Oreochromis niloticus: one gene and its partner. The protein of the gene in region 1 purifies or fractionates together with the protein of each later gene. This does not show direct contact. Links are inferred from orthologs where the notes say so. Each region holds a gene or a part of one and is shown in the gene's direction. Other genes may lie near its edges. The genes, in order: ptpn9a and lztr1.

What was found.
Region 2: the proteins of ptpn9a (region 1) and lztr1 purify together in Homo sapiens (affinity purification with mass spectrometry; 3 studies listed by BioGRID and IntAct, with this or other methods). This does not show direct contact. The link is inferred for Oreochromis niloticus from reciprocal best matches to the Homo sapiens genes PTPN9 and LZTR1.

What each region holds. Positions count from the first base shown.
Region 1 is NC_031972.2:44,377,528-44,385,904, reverse strand, and holds the start of ptpn9a (tyrosine-protein phosphatase non-receptor type 9), read left to right. Parts: upstream 1-4,809; 5' UTR 4,810-5,398; coding exon 5,399-5,431; intron 5,432-8,377. UniProt on the Homo sapiens protein: Protein-tyrosine phosphatase that could participate in the transfer of hydrophobic ligands or in functions of the Golgi apparatus.
Region 2 is NC_031977.2:17,829,346-17,838,041, reverse strand, and holds the start of lztr1 (leucine-zipper-like transcriptional regulator 1), read left to right. Parts: upstream 1-4,647; 5' UTR 4,648-5,108; coding exon 5,109-5,260; intron 5,261-5,344; coding exon 5,345-5,407; intron 5,408-5,492; coding exon 5,493-5,549; intron 5,550-5,852; coding exon 5,853-5,932; intron 5,933-6,023; coding exon 6,024-6,132; intron 6,133-7,447; coding exon 7,448-7,531; intron 7,532-7,618; coding exon 7,619-7,676; intron 7,677-7,775; coding exon 7,776-7,915; intron 7,916-8,007; coding exon 8,008-8,209; intron 8,210-8,696. Other genes in the region: gal3st1a (galactosylceramide sulfotransferase), read left to right, coding at 1-859. UniProt on the Homo sapiens protein: Substrate-specific adapter of a BCR (BTB-CUL3-RBX1) E3 ubiquitin-protein ligase complex that mediates ubiquitination of Ras (K-Ras/KRAS, N-Ras/NRAS and H-Ras/HRAS).

The sequences.
Region 1 (8,377 bases):
TGGAGGGGGGACAGGATACTGGGGCATAAAACTTTGGTAACAAAAATAGACTCTGAAACAGGGCGTGCTAATCTTTTTTTTTAAAAACAGCATTTTTAAAAAAACAGCATGTTATAGTTTTGTTTTTTGAATTGTCTTATAAAAACTTTTATATCCACCCCTCGATGCCTCCATAGACCAGCATAACTGTCGTGTATTTGTATCAACACTCACATTTTCTATACCTGGAAAAAGAACATAATTTTCTCCTTGTCTTGCTCTTACAGCGGTATCACTATTGTTCTCGCCACCTACGTGGAACATTGACAGGTGAAAATAACACGTTTCAACACTTCTGTGGGGTAGACTGATTCTGGGAAACGTAGATCACAAAGTGTACAATGCAACTGAAAGAAGTTCAGCATACCACATTTACACACGATAAGTCCTGGAAAGCATGATGTGGTTTGTGATGATGATTCAGTTAATTTTTTTTTTTTCTTTAACGAAGCATAATTCGGAAAAACAACAAGAAGCAACGTTTCCCAGTTTTCTTGCATTTGCGGTTAAAGGTTTCTGCAAAAAATCTAAAGAATACGCCTTGTGTAATCCAGAGCAAATTGACAAATGCAGTTCATCGAGTACAGTCGGATACTTCCTCTTTCACCTCTGTACTGAGAGACATGTCAAACAGAGCAAAGCGAGATGTGCGGTTACTGCAAGAATTCCGATATGACTCAGCAGTACTTTCCAGGAACCGAGCACCTGCCAATTCACAGATACATTTTTCATAGTGCTGTCAGTCTCCCCCCCTCCACACACACACAGACACAGATGCTCTGATCTTTACAAAAACCTTGTTACAAGACGTTTAAGGAGTGAAGCAGATTTGTGTTTCTTCTGCACATCTCTCTTTCTCTGTGCACGTCTGAGAGTAATATCAGTGAGAGCAAACTTCATCTGTGTGCCACGTTAATAAAAGAGTGTAAACTGCTGTTCAGGTCATTAAATCTCCTCAGTTCTTACGTACTGCACTAAGATCATACAGCTTCATGCAGCACTGGGTTCACAGAGTTTGGCTAAGTGTGTTTGTGTGTTTGCGAAATGCATTTAGCACCCATTTTAGACTTGATGTATAAAGCCTGAAGTGGCTCGTGTCATTAACCCGCATTATGTAAAACAACTTCAATCTTGTAGCGAACTGATTTTTTTTTTGGCAACAACTGTAGAGAACCTCACCTTCCTCTCTAGCTTTTATTGATGTGTTTATCAACTCTTGAAATCTTTATTTCTCACAGGTTTACTGCGTCCTTTTTTTTAGTTTTTTTAGTCAGATTGACACTATTAGGGGGAAGGGCTAAAGGTTTACCAATCACATTTTCCCAAAGGATGATGTCAGCTGGTTTCACAGGAAGTCTATTGTTGTCCACTCCCTTTTCCCTTTGGTTTTCAAGCAAGACTTTCTCACGCTTCAATATTTAAAGTTTGCTTATTGTGGGGGGAATAATCGTGCCTTCCAGTGTTCCTATATTTGATGGCCTACAGAAGCACGTTGACAAACACTCTGCCATCTTCCCTTCCTTCTCTATCGACCTATGTTGAGATAAGCACGGCCTCTCACTTTGTTTTGCATCATTTTACCTTTGCAGTCTCATTAAAACACCCAAAGGCGTGAAATGATGGCCTTCAATAGCTTTGTGGTATATGCAATCTCCTGGCTGCGCTCGAAATAACCTCCCTGCTGAACTATATGAGCAGCCCATAATATTCCAAGGGAGACCTGTATTGTGTCTGTGGCTCATGTTACAGTGACTTTATCGTGCTGTTGGGTATTTTCTCATTCTTATGATGTCATGCATTTCCTGTAAACTCTACTAGATTATAATGTAGCAAGAAGGAAGCAAGAGTTGAAAGTTTGACTAATTAAACTGCTATAAGTGCAACCAACTATTATGGATGGGCCTGCTCATATTATTATTTGTGTCTTCCCACTTTATGTAATGCATTAATAATGTGAATTGCTGGTTTGGGGAGTGCAGCTGTGATGTAGACTCAAAGCTGATGAAAAATGTGCACAAAGCTGCACACTATGAATGCAGATTACAGTGGCTGAAAATTACAATAACATTCTGCTTCAGATTGCATGTACCTTTAAGAAAGTTGCAATGCACAGCTTGACAAACTCAACAAACACCATGACACTGCAGTTAGTCCTACCTATGGTGCTTACTGGCTAATGGTGATTCTGGTGTTGCTCATTGGATTAATTGTGTTTTTAACCGAGAAAAGGCTGTTTGAGGTCGCAGTGCCAGCTCAATGGCAGAAAGAATAAAAGGAATGTTAACCCTTCATTAATAGGATTTAAAGTTCTTGAATCAGGAATACAGCTTGGAGTCCAACAAACAAACTAGCTGCAGCACTGTGCAAAAGTCTTGAGCCACCCCTTAATTCTTTATATTTTGCAAGAAAAATGGGAAATAGGTGGAGCAGTTTATGGAATTATGTGCAAACATGCATGGAATATGAGGAATTTATAAGGTATATAAAGTAAGTACAATTCTAACAAGCTTAATGAGGGTCAATATTTGGTATGGCCACCTTTATCCTCAACACAGCTTAAACTCTCTGAGGCAGCTTTCTTGTCATTTCTTTAAGTATCTTCAGGAATAGTTCTCCAGGCTCCTTGAAGGACATTCAAAGCTCTTCTTTGGATATTGGCTGTCTGTTGTTCTGCTTTCTGTTAAGATGATCACACACTGCTTCAATAATGTTGTGGTCGAGGCTCTGGGTAGGCCAATCCATGGCTGATGGCGTTCCATTCTTTGTTTTTTAATATCCAGATATGTTTTTATAGTGTGTTTGGGATCGTTTCCATGTTGAAAAATGAAGCTGATGCCAATCATATGGTTTCCAGATGGTAGTGCAATCTGACAGTACTATTCTGAGTTTATAATTCCATCAATTTTGACAAGATGTCCAACACCACTGGCTAAAATGCAGCCCCAAACTAAGACAGCCCCTCCACCGTGTTTCACAAATGTCTATAGAAAGTCACTGTTGTACCTCTACATGACCTGTTCTGTGCTTATTGATGACCATTTTTACCAAAATTTTCAAATCTGGAATCATCTCTTCATAAGACATGTTGCCACTGATTTTCAGTATTTACCTCAGAGTTTTCTTCACATTTTCTCTCCTTAAGAATGGCTTCTTGGCAGCCACCGCTCCACTGAGACCATTTCTGACAAGGTTTCGATGAACAGTGGATGGATCAACTACAGAGCCAAATGCATCTTTCAGATCCTGTCTCAGGTCTTTGCTGCTGTGGATAGGTTTTTTTGTTTGTTTGGGGTTTTGTTTAGTTTTTTTGGGGGGGGGGTGAACTATTTCTTCTTATGTCCTCTGTTTGTCCAATTTTCTTAGTATTTTTTTAGGAGACACTGCACACCGTGCAATGATATGCCAAGTATTTGGCTTTTGGGAATAACTTTATTTATGCAGAAAATCATTTTAATGCCTGTCAAAATGTGTTATCGTTGGCATTTTTCATAGATTTGACTAAGGAAATGTAAACAACTGGTATGGTTTTGCAACAGGGTGCTCGTAAAAAAGTGGCTTGAGAAAGAAATTAAAATTGGTTCTTTGCTAAGTTGTCTGTTACATGTATAAACAGCATGACTGGACTGAAAATGAATGAGAAACCAGCCAATGTCCAAAGAAAAACTTGGCAGTCTGGATAACTATTGCTCAATACTACTTAAAAAAAACAACAACAACAACAACAAAAAGAAAATGTGCACCCTTGCATGAGCAGTGAGCAGTGCCTCTAGACTGTACGCTAAAATATGCTAAGCTAACACTTTAATTGCACTAGCCCTTACATAAAATAGCCATCAGTTTTAGTTAACTCCTCACACTCAACAAGGTGTGTTACTAAGATTCTATTTTTAGTTAACATATTTAAAAATAGTCCAACATCCTCACCTGAAAATATAACTAGCATGCAAAGATATATTTTCAGTCAGCTAGTGCCTAGCTGCTAGAGTTTACACCTTTTGCTTCTTTGCTTACATTACCTTAGAAATATTAGAAAGTAAGTAAATACAGGGCCAGACTCGCTGATACCAAAACCGATACAGACACATTTAACCTATAAAGGCAGCTTATTTACGGGTTGTGATTACTTTCCACGATATTTAGTTAATACAACAAAACACACATTCAAGCTGTTCGTGTATGTTCATAACTGTGACAGAGACAGGTCTCTAATGCACTTTGGGTCAACTTATGTGGTTTAAATGTACCATAGTGCATGTTTGAGGTTTATTTTTTTCCATTTCCAAAAGAATAATTTACCAGTGGGCTGCATACCGAACTTAGAGGATAGAAAAAGTAACGCCAGCATTGCTATTGATACTATAAATATTCGGATTCATCCGCTCAACTCTAGAAAACATTAAATGTTCATTCAAACTTGTTAGAATTAGTAGTAGTATTATAAAAATAGAAAGTTCCAGTTGCTTTAGGATAAATGCTGAAAAACTATAGATTTCACTTGAAATATAGCCTCCCTAGTCAAAACTACTCACTTAATTAGCTAAATTGAGATTAACTGAGGTCAAATTTTGTACTTACAGGAAACATAATATAATAATACATATCACTGAACGCACTCTTCACGTGTTCTTTTTCAAATAAAGCATCCATTTAGGTTTAACCATGTTAAGAGTGGCGTTTTTCCCTTGTTAGTTTTCTATTTTTATGAATGAAGGCGGAGGTCAGTGTGCTTTCGTCATGTTCTCGACTTATCCACCAGGGGGGGGCGCAGCGATACGCAGAGAGAAAAGCCTGCGGTCTCTCGCGGTGCTCAGGGTCGTGCGCGTGTCACCGTCTCACAGCATAAAGGCGAGGTTCACAGCCCCAAAACTTGCGATACATGGCATGGAGGAGGCAGCGGGCAGCCGCAGTCCGACGTATGCTAAGTTAGGTGGAGGAGCTGCACAACACGGTCTGAACCCGAGCTGAATGAAGCGAGTCCTCGTCTAAGCTGTTCCGAGCGCCGTGCTTTTTTTCCTCCTTCCCTTTTCCATTTCCAATTTCCTTCTCGGTGAAATCTGACACATCAGCGGCTCGCTCGAGTTTGTAGACTGGTAGATTTATGCTAATTGGCCCGCGTGCTTCGCGATCGCAGGCGGTATCAGGAGCGAACACACTCGGCTAAAAACTGTGGCGTTTTTAGATGCCTTCAAGTTTGTGAGCGAGAGGGACAACCCCTCTCCTCCACCTCCTCCTCCAAACCCCGTTTTTTTCACACGAGGGACAGACACACCGACATCACCGCCATCCTCTGCTGTATGAAACGGAGCAGTGTCGGGAAGGAAACAAAAAAAAAGAAGTGGTCAAAGATTTGACGGGAATCATGGCAGCTACTTTATCAGCGGAGGAAGAGCAGGTAGGCCCCGAGAGTCCGTGTCTTTTCCACTTCTTCGTTTCTGGGTTATGTTGGCTAAAAATAAATAAATAAAAATCTTTCAGTCTCGAGACTCTACCTGGAGGCTTTTTTTTTTTTTTTGCCCTGTGTACTGAGAGTGCGCAAATGGTGGCTGTGCTCCGAAACGGTCCTGAATGCAGAGCGGAAATATTGTATCGATTTCTGGCGCATTACTGCTCTCGTTGCATCACTGTCAGCGGCTGAGCTGATGGGCTGCAGCACAGGCCGAGCTTGTCTTTATCGCCCCCCCAGAAAATGGAAGGGAAGGGGGGGCATGTTTGTTTCGTGTGTCGTAGTTAAACACGGTGATATTGACGGGAAACTGCTTGGCCGCGAGAGTCGGAAACGCTGGCCGGTCTTTGACAAAATGTACACAGTAGAAACTTGGCTCAGCGTAAAGAGTCCTGCATGCTCATGCCGTGCCATCCGAGCACATTTTAACGCACATATCGCCGCACTTTCTAAGTTAAGGATGGAGGAAGTGCGTTTCTCTCAAATATTTGAGTACTTTGTTGTTTGCTTTAAGTAAAAATAGGCGTGCAAACTCTGTCTCCACACTCTTAAACACCAGCTTTAAGTCATCATATCGTTTTCGATATTATTGGCCTGTTTTTCTACTTCGAGGCTTGGAAGTATTGAGAAGTGAGAGAATTCTGAGAAAACTATTCCAAGAACAGGAATTGGCCTATTGGCTCATTCTAGGCGTCAAGAACTCGGAGCCCGAAGAACGGAGCGTTTATTCTAGGAATGATGAGACTCTTGATTATTGGAGCAGAAGGATTTGCTTGATAAATCCCTTAGATGATGGACAAATAAGCAGCCAGCCTTTGTTTTTGTTTGTTTATTGAGGTAATATCTGAACAGGTCCTCAAGTGTGAAGATTTACTTGTTTGCTCTTTTTTGACTTGTGATTTTTGAGTTGAATATTCCTGCGATTTCAAGTATTTAATCATATGAGGATGGAAATCCTTTACAGACCTAGCTATAAAACAAAGTGTAGTAGTAGAATTATGCATGGATGGTAGAGGTGGGCAGATCGAAATATCGATGCCGATGCTGGTATCGGTATCTTACATAGGCGAGTTCAGACCCTTTTTAGGGGTGCTCAGGCATCCCTAAAGAAAACTGCCCAGTGTTGTTGGTGCCATGATGATTCAGTCTCTCACAGAGGCGTTGCTGCTTCAGCAGTGTGGTTTGTCATTAATACTCTAGATAAGACTTGACTAAGAATATGCAGAGGTAATTTCATGACACAAATCAGTGATGCAGATTGAAAAACTAAATGGTGTCAAAAACTTTAGCTAATGTAGCCTAAATCACCAGAGATTATTCACTAATTTTAGCTTTTCGAGCCACTAGTCTGCTGGCAGCTAGTGATATACCAGCAAAAGAGCTGATGTACTTTATTTGTGCACTTTTTAGTTTGTTAAAGATTTCTATTCCGGTTCTGCGCTTCATTGTTTGTCTACAGTACAGCTCCAGATCCAGGTGAGAGCAAGTCGAAAGGAAGTTTACGTCCAGTAGCAGCCTGTAGTTAGTCTGAATATTGTTATAAATGAGGATCAGTTTATGCCTTTTATTGGTTTGTAAGTTCTGCTTCACTGTTATAATTTAACTTTTGGGTAACAGCACAAAGTTGAAGAGAACAGAAGCGAGCACAATGAAGACAGAGAGGAAAACAAACGGGCAAGAGTGGACTTGTAGTCAAGGTCAACAAAATTATAAAGGGAGTGTTGCTTCTGTTTTGCCCATATTCTTTGATAATGATTTTTTTTCTGACTCAGTGTCTAGGTGGGTTCTCTCCAGGTACTCTGGCTTCCTCCCACAGTGTAAACACATGCAGTCAGTGGGGTTATGTTAAGTGGTGATTCTAAACTGCTCATAGGTCTGTATGGTTGTCTGTCTTTTAGTCATGTGACAGTCTGGCAACTCGTCCAGGGTGTAGCCCACCATTCGCCCTATGGCAGCTGGGATAGACTCCAGCCTCCCCACAACCCTAATAAGTATAAGTGAAAGAGAATGGATGGATGGATAATTTTACATGCATTTAATGGAAGCTTTGTGTGCATACTTAAAAATGTCAGTAGACGCTCTAAAGAACATATTTATTGATATGTATAGCAGCATTTGACAGGATTCATTTAGCTCTAAACATGGCTTGAACAGGATCAGAAGTGGGGTTTTCCCAGTTTTATTTATACAGCACGAAATCACAGCAGTCACCTCAGGGTGCTTTATATTGTAAGGTAGACCTTACAACAGTCATGACTCCCTATGAGCAAGCACTTTGGTGACAGTGGGAAGGAAGAAAGCTCCAGCAGAACCAGGCTCAGAGAAGGGAGGCTATCTGCAGCGACCGGCTGGGGTGAGGGGAGGAAGATGGGACAAAACACATGCTGTGGAAGAGAGCCAGAGATTAATAACAAGTAATGATTCAATGGAGAGAGGTCTGTTAACACATAGTGTGGGAGAAAAGCGACTGAAGAAGAAATACTCAATGCATCATGGGAATCCCCGGCAGCCTACACCTATTGCAGCATAACAAAGGGAGGATTCAGGGTCACCTGATCCAGCCCTAACTATATGCTCTAGCATACAGAAAGGATTTTCCACTTTCTGTATTGAAAAATGCTACTTTAAGTGCTTGATGATTTGGTTGACTTCCTCTGTGTGGTTAAGACACTGAACCAGTGTCGTGCATGTTTCTTCTTTCTCCTCACAAACTGTTATTTAACTTTTTTTGAAAAGTTTGCTTAACATGAGTGAGCCTCTGCCTCAGATTTGATAACTAAAGTGCCCGCCCTAAAACTGGTGTATTATATTAAAATCTGTGATTATCCATTCTGAATTATTCTTATTATCAGTTGTTTTATTTTTTGGAAATGGATGTCTGACCCGGCAGCACGG
Region 2 (8,696 bases), on another chromosome or scaffold:
CTGTAATCACATGCGCTTCAATGCACCTGAAGTGTCCAAGTTGCTGCCTGTGGACACATCCTACATCACCATTCTGCGAGACCCTGCAGAGCTTTTTGAATCTTCCTTCCACTACTTTGGCCGCCTGGTGCCTTTTACTTGGAAGATACCAGGTGACGACAAGCTGGCTGAGTTCCTACGTGATCCCCACAAGTACTTTGATCCAGGGAGCTTCAACTCTTACTACCTCAAGAATCTGCTGTTTTTTGACTTTGGACTGGACAACTCTCTGGATGTGAATGATCCACGAGTGGAAGAAGGAATCAAATTCATCAGTGACCGTTTTCAGCTGGTCATGTTAGTGGAACACTTTGAGGAATCACTCATCCTGCTAAAGGATGCCCTCTGCTGGGAGATGGATGATTTGCTCTTCTTTAAGCTCAATATCCGTAAGGGATCCACTTTGTCTAAATTTACTCCTGAGCTGAGAGCTAGGGCCCTTGAGTGGAATGCTATTGATTGGAAGCTATATCAGCATTTTAATCAAACTTTCTGGAAGAAAGTAGACGCGTACGGGCACCAGCGTATGGCTGAGGATGTGGCAGAGCTCAAGAAGAGGAACAAGGAGATGACATCTATCTGCATTGAGGGTGGCCATGCTGTAGAAGCTGGCAGCATCCAAGAGAAAGACATGCAGCCCTGGCAGCCAATCGGAGAGAAGTCTATCATGGGCTATAATTTAAAAAAGAATATAGACAAAGCACATCGGAATCTGTGCCGCAAGATGTTAATGCCTGAGATTCAGTACTTAACAGAGCTTGGGGTGAACCTCTGGATTACCAAGTTGTGGGGCCATGTCCGAGATATAATTAACTGGTAACTCAGTGTGTGAGCACCAGGGGCCAATTTAAATCTGAAACACTGTATTAAGAAGTACTGCGTGGTTGACAGAATGAGAGGTTAATAACGTGTCATATTTTCTGTCTCTTTGCCTGTTTGAATTGTACATGGTTGTGCACTGTGATGTACATGATGAGAGCTTGAGAAAAAAGAAGTTATGCTCTACAAATACTGAATCAGTTTACGACATGCAGCCGAGGCTTAGTATTCTCCACTATGAGTCCGTTTAATTGTTCTTACTCTCAGATGTCAGCTTGTTCTAATGGAGTACTTGACATAACTATGAAGTTCACAATGACGTTCTAAAGCACTTTGATGGATTGATAAGAAATATTTATTTCCATCCCTGAGAAATTTCTGAGATTTTGGAAACATGGAAGGAATATCAGTTGGTTTGTAGTAAATGACGTCTTTGATGATCATTTGAAAAAGTCAAAACATTTCATTTCTAAGTGACTGATTCCCCACTAAGGACTGAAATATATGTGAAAATATGCAACTACTTTACTATCTGTGGAGGACAAAATCAGTCCTGATTTTAAAAAGTATGTGAATATCTCTCTCTCTCTCTCTATACATATATATATGTGTGTATATATATATATATACATATGTATGTATGTATGTATATATATATAACTTTTTTTAAATGAATGGCATTAGCTATCAGTCTACTTGAGAGTTCTATCACTACAAATTCTAAATCAAATCATCATTAATGTTATCAACTATAAACGTGCTTCTCCATGTCTGTCATGTAATATGTTTAATAAGGAATCAATAAATGAAAGAGCCATTAAAAATGATGTAATTAGCTGTAAAAAAAAAAAAAAAACAACTTAATTTTATAGGATAAATGTTGCATTTCCAGCTATATCAATGTTTTTTCTTCATGTGAGAACTTTACTGTTCAGTTTTCGTTTTGCTGCTTATATTTCAGTGATAATCAACAATAATGTGTTGCTCTTGCCAGTTGTTTTGGGAGGTAGAGTGACAATGTGATGTGACTTGTGTAGAGAGCAGGCAAATAACCTACACTGAAAAAAGAACCAACTTAATTGAATTGTTTCAATTGGTAACACCTAATTTAATTAAGTTCTTTGAAATGAAGTTAATACATTAGAGTGCACAACTGATTTATCTAATGTATTAACTTCATTTCAAAGAACTTAATTAAATTAGGTGTTACCAATTGAAACAATTCAATTAAGTTGGTTCACCTATTTTCTTTTTACAGTGTAAAACATATGTCTGTCAAGTAAGATCCTACCTAAATGTACAATGACCAAGAGTGTTAAACACCACTCGCATGTCTACACAGCCTTATTATCAGAACCACTCATAAGAAATGCAATTTCATTTCATTAATTTATGTTTTGTTAATGCTCTTCATCATTCGTTAAACACTTTAGTTTTGTAAATTCACCTATAATATTTAGTCAGTATTTCTTTCCATTCAGTATTGTCTTTTCTTAATGTTTTGTATTATTAATGATTTGATTTTAACTAATGTCCTGATTTTGTTCTCCATACAATAATCCATTGTTACTACCAATATATGATAAGCTAAGTCTCACAATAAAATGAATAGTAATATTGTTTATTTAAAACAACCATTTAATTTTGTTGAATGACAGCCCTGGGAAATATCTGTTCCTAAAAATGATGGGTTAAGATAAATGACCATATTGTATCAGCCTATGGATGGGTGAATAACATTTCACAAGTTTCCTGTTAAAATGAGCATTTGGTGCAGATAATGCCTCAAAATGGTAGTGGTTCCAAACGGACCTATTAAAGCATTTATTTTGATCATCAGTGTTAGAAAAGTGTAATTAAATCCACTGTGATTTGTTGTTATAAAATAAAAAAATAAAACATGAAAAGTTCAGTGAGGATGGTTATGTTTTTAACAGAAACTGCATGATCACAATACTTATTCATTGCTTGGAGATGTTCTTAACATTTGTGTTAAGACAGTCATAGACTTACAAACACTGTTAAGTCTACGGTTTTACATATCAGGATGTATGTAACCCTTAACAGGAATTAAAATTTGACAAATAAAACCTGAAATGAACAACGACACTTGACATATTACACTGTGCCATTATTGATAATTGAAAGACTACACCTTTCATTTCTGACTTCATTGGAATTAAGAGGGTTATTAGCAGCAGTGCTGCTAATCAAACCCACTTGATTAATTGGATCTTGATTAATTGACATGAAAGCAGAAGTTTTGGGAGTTTGCTAGTCTGGAGCAGCAACATGCTGTAAGGATTTTGGACAGGAGTGCGTTTGCGGAGGGTGAAAACCACTCTCCCTGTCCAAATAGAGACACACATGCTGACCATGCTGAATAAAGTATGCTTAAAGTTACATTATGTAACTGTTATGTGGAAGGTTATAGCACAGATTAAAAGGAGTTTCCGGTTGCATTGTAAATTACAATGCAGATTCCTAGCTGAAGCATTAACCTCCCAAGTTCAACTGCATATTCGCTAGCTACGGTGGCTGCTATAGGACAAACATGCTTTAGGTAAGAGCGATAAAGAGGGCATGAAACACTGCATTTGTTGAGAGAAATTTACACCATGGAGCCCTACTCTAAAACTGTAAAGCTGTATTTAAGAAATAGGCTTTAAACGTTTTAGAGAATGTTTGGTTTTATTTTATCCCAGTAAAGACTGTCACTGCGTTGTTTGGTTGGTTGCTGTTAATAAATTAATGTTAGTTTATATTAGCTAACTCGTGAGAGAACCAATAACTTTTAAAGTTTTAGGTTCCTTGAAGGAGAGCTTGTTTAAGTTCTTTGCATGGAAAAAAAAATCGACGTTAGTCTTCTTCTTTTGTAAAATAATAAGTTCCAAGCCAAAACAATATTTTTTCTTTTGTCTGTTGCATACATCAATCTATTGTTCATGCAGACATGTTTATGGATGTCAGGATTCCCGGTCATGCTTTGGTAAGACAGTTAAGTTTGTGGTGTGATGCGCATGTGGTAACCCTGTATGCTGTAAATTCAAACATGATATGCTTGGGAAAAGAGATAATTTTAATACATATAATACTAATGATCACATCTTGTAGACATCTGCTTTGCCTGTTGATTTCTCTGCTCGGTGTGTCCAACCGAACAGACAAGGAAAAATCAAACACAGAGGGGATTTTGTCTGACTCCTGCTTTTCAGTTTGGTGAGCCACTGGGGCACCTGACTCAAACAGGCCATCCTTCACAAAACCCTCATTTATTAAGTTATCTATAACCCCTTTTCAGTCCAGCTAGCTAACAACAGAGAACCACTTACTGCTTCAGAGAAAAAGAGTGAAAGTGGACACTATATCCTTGTTTTTAACATAAAACTCATTGCTGCTACCAGGAGCAGCAATGAGTGACTGCTGCTTTTTTAGCTTTAGTTTCCTTATTTTCTTTCTTTGTTTTTTTTACTTTTAGGTTATTGATTCTGTCACTAGTTAGCTAACATAAACTAAACTAATGTGTCTACAACCAACCGAGGAACTCAGCGATATCACATTCTATACTGGCACAAGATGGTGCTTAACGTGCTTTAAAATCTTTAATTTCAAAGACTCTTTTCCAAATTCCAGCTTTACAGACGGTGCTAAATCTATGACAGGTTTTTAGAGTAGGGCTCCAAACTGTAAATTAACGTTAATACCTATAGGTACTATATATAGTGTTTCATGTCAACTTCAAATGTGCACATACTACTCAAGATTACAGGACTGAAAGCATTTTGACTCCGCCTTTTCAACATTACAGGAAGTGAAGTACCCGCAGGGTTGTGGGGGGCGTGGATTTACCACTGCTTTTGATTTCTTGGTGTTGTTTTTTGTGTCTAATATCATGACATCGTAGGTATCGAACCGGTTAGCCAGATGTTTTAGCGCAACGTTAGCGTTGTTCGTTAACTTGTCGTTTTCTTCTTCATGTTGCTAGTTTTGGGGCGTAGCATTAGCTAGAGGCTAGCTAGCTAGCCAGGATTAGCTGAGCTTTTTTGTAGCTAACAGTTCTCTGGAGGACAACAGCCTCAGTCTTTAACAAAGAAGACTTGGGTAAGAGTAGTACCAATGTCACTCCAGATTTACATGTGGTGACAGAAGTATTAGCACTTATGCTGGGGCATTAACAGCGTCGTTAATCGTTCACGTCCCTGCAGATGAGTGGCCCTGACATCTGATTGAGCCGGGGAGTTAGCAAAAACATGTCCTGTAAGTCAACTAAAGTGGCTCCGAGTGTTGATTTCGACCACAGCTGCTCTGACAGCGTGGAATATTTGACACTTAATTTCGGCCCATTTGAGACTGTTCATCGCTGGAGAAGACTCCCTCCGTGCGATGAGTTTGTTGGTGCAAGGTAAGGTGTGGACAGATGAGCAGCAGCATCTTCACTCAAACTGAATACCTGTGGTCTTATTGAACTTCATGCGGCTTCACGCAGGCGCAGCAAACACACTGTGGTGGCTTACAGAGATGCAATATATGTGTTCGGGGGAGACAATGGGTAAGGGCTACAAGACTTTGCAGACATTTTTCAGATATATGTATTAGTTATTATATGTATGTGAGAATTCTGTGTCACCCAACAGCAAAAACATGCTGAATGATCTCCTTCGCTTTGATGTGAAGGATTGTTCCTGGTGTCGGTAAGGCTATAGCCTCACAGCCACAGTTGATTTGATTTTACTTTGTTGCAATACATATCACAATCCACGGAATATCCCAGATTAACACATATTTAAATTTTAAGACCATCATAGTGTGCATGCAGTGAGTATCAGAACAAGGAGCACTAAAAAGTAATCATAAAGATCAGCTTATTTCCACAGTGGACACTTTTTTTGAAAGTATTACAATACAAGACACCAAATCAGCCAGAGTATATATAAAACATACACAATCTTAACCGTATAATAAAATAGAAGTTGACACATGTCTATAATTCACAGAGCTTTCACCACTGGAACGCCACCTGCCCCCAGATACCACCACTCAGCTGTGGTCTATGGCAGCAGCATGTTTGTATTTGGTAAATCCTTAATTATCTATAAAAGTCCTTTATTTTATCCATTTTAAACTCTGGTGGCATTTTTGTAATGTTCAACTTTGATATTTTCTAGGGGGCTACACTGGAGACATTTACTCAAATTCAAACCTGAAAAACAAAAATGACCTTTTTGAGTACAAGTTTGCTACAGGACAGTGGACTGAATGGAAAGTGGAGGGAAGGTAATGTATTAACTTGTTTCTTTTTAATAATGACCAAACATTGTCATTGTTATTGTGTCCCATGATATTATTGTATCTTGCCTCCGTGGTTTCCACCCTTAATACTTTAGGTCAGGGGTGTCGAACTCCAGGCCTTGAGGGCCAGTGTCCTGCAGGTTTTAGATCTCACCCTGGGTCAACACATCCGAATCAAATGATTAGTTCATTATCAGGCCTCTGGAGAACTTCAACTCATGTTGAGGAGGTCATTTAGCCACTTAAGAACAAGAATAAGAATAACTTTATTTATCCCGAGGGAAATTCTTTTGTTATGTACATGCTCAAAGCAGCAGGAGACAGAGGAACAGATGAATAAGATATAAGATATACAATATATACAATAAGAATAGTAAAATAGTTAAATCAGCTGTGTTGGATCAAGGACACATCTAAAACTTGCAGGACACCGACCCTCAAGGCCTGGAGTTCAACACCTGTGCTTTAGGTTGTCTGGAGGATAAAATATGTTGGAAAAACTGTGGGCGCGTTTGGCATGTGCCTTTATGTTTACTGGCTGAACTAAAACTTTAGAGGAGCTCACACTGTGCACAGTTGCCTTCTACTATGTCCTAGCATGACAGCCCCCACTCCCCAATCCTCTACTTGCCTGCACTCACACCAAAGTTAATGATCCAGCCACAAGTACATATCAATTTGTCTCTGCATCAGCTTTTTAATAAAATTTTATGCTTTTTGTGGCTTCTTAACTGGGCAATCAAAAAATTAATTACACAAAATAATTTTACAGTACATGAATAAGCATTACAGTTCTGCGTTTAGCTGTAGTTGATGCTTATTAACATCAGTATCTTCAAGTTGGCCTAGACAGAGTTCTTTTGGTCGGTCATTTTAAAGCAGAGGTGGGGAACGCCAGGACTCAAAGGTCGGTGTCCTGCAGGTTGATACTGAAAACACCGGCCCTTGAGCCTTGGAGTTCCCCACCCCTGCTTTAAAGGCTTAAACCCTCATCAGTTCAAAAATGGCCCTGCAAACGTATGTCATCAACATGATGTAATAGATGGTTGGTGGGTTTTTTTAGATATTCCAAGTAGTCTGTGATTCTTCGCAAAATTGCTGATAAAAGTTAAGCCCACCTACTTCAAAAATTAATCCCATAGTATCTCTAATCCACAGTCTTGCGGACAGCTTATTTTAATCCAGGACAAGCAAAATCTACAACTGTTTTAAGTCTTTGCAGGGACCTTTGAGGTACAGAGGCAAATAAAAATTTAGTCTGGGACTATGCTTAAGTGTTGACTGTGAATCTCTGTTCCAGCTTGCCAGTGGCCAGATCTGCACATGGGGCCACAGTCTACAGTGATAAACTCTGGATATTTGCTGGTTATGATGGAAATGCCAGGTATGCATGAATTTTTTTTTGTTTTCATTTTCTGCAGATGTATTTATTTTTGAGCATAACCTTGGTGACTATTTCGCCCACGTATAGGTTGAACGACATGTGGACCATCAGTCTGCAGGACCGAGAGCACGCGTGCTGGGAAGAGGTATGTTTAATTCATTTTCACAACAAAAGAGAACAACATTTAAAGTTAAAGACTCAGAAACCCTTGGTCAGCGTTCACGTCTGTCTTTGTGTCCATCAGATCGATCAGAGTGGTGAAATTCCGCCGTCTTGCTGCAACTTCCCTGTCGCCGTATGCAGGGACAAGATGTTTGTGTTTTCTGGACAGAGTGGAGCCAAAATTACTAACAACCTCTTTCAGTTTGAGTTCCAAGGCCACATGTAAGCAGAACCCTTTTTTTTTTTTAAATCATTCAGCTACTTATACTATATTTACCAGCATTACCTGACACTCATAACTCCCATTTTCTCAGGTGGACACGTATACCAACTGAACATTTGCTGCGGGGCTCCCCTCCACCTCCGCAGAGGCGCTATGGACACACTATGGTTGCCTTTGACCGCCACCTGTATGTATTTGGAGGTGCTGCTGACAACACCCTGCCCAATGAGCTGCACTGCTATGATGTTGACTCTCAGACCTGGGAGGTGATTCAACCCAGCCATGACAGTGAGGTATGAAAAAATTTGGAAAACTTTCATTGTTTGTGTGATATCATTCATTTGTTGACACAAAGAACTATGTTGTGGAGGTAGATGAATGATATCACAAATATTTTTTATTAGGACAGTAAATTATTAAACGAGAAGACTTTGTTCCTGTACGTTCCATTCCTATCTATTGTACTACTTCTTTATGTAATGCAAACATAATATGTTTGGAAAGGCTGTTGAGTGGTGAGTCATTTTGAGTTTAGTTCGTTGCTGTAGACCAGGGGTCTGCAACCTTTAACACCCAAAGAGCCACTTGGACCTGGTTTCCACACAAAAGAAAACACTGGGAGCCGCAAATACTTTTTGACATCTAAAATGAAGATAACACTGTATATATTGTTTTTTTTACCTTTATGCTTTGTGTGAACAACTTAAGTAAGTAAAGTTTATTTATTAAGCGCTTTTCACAGACAGGCAGTCACAAAGCGCTGTACACAAAGATTAAAAT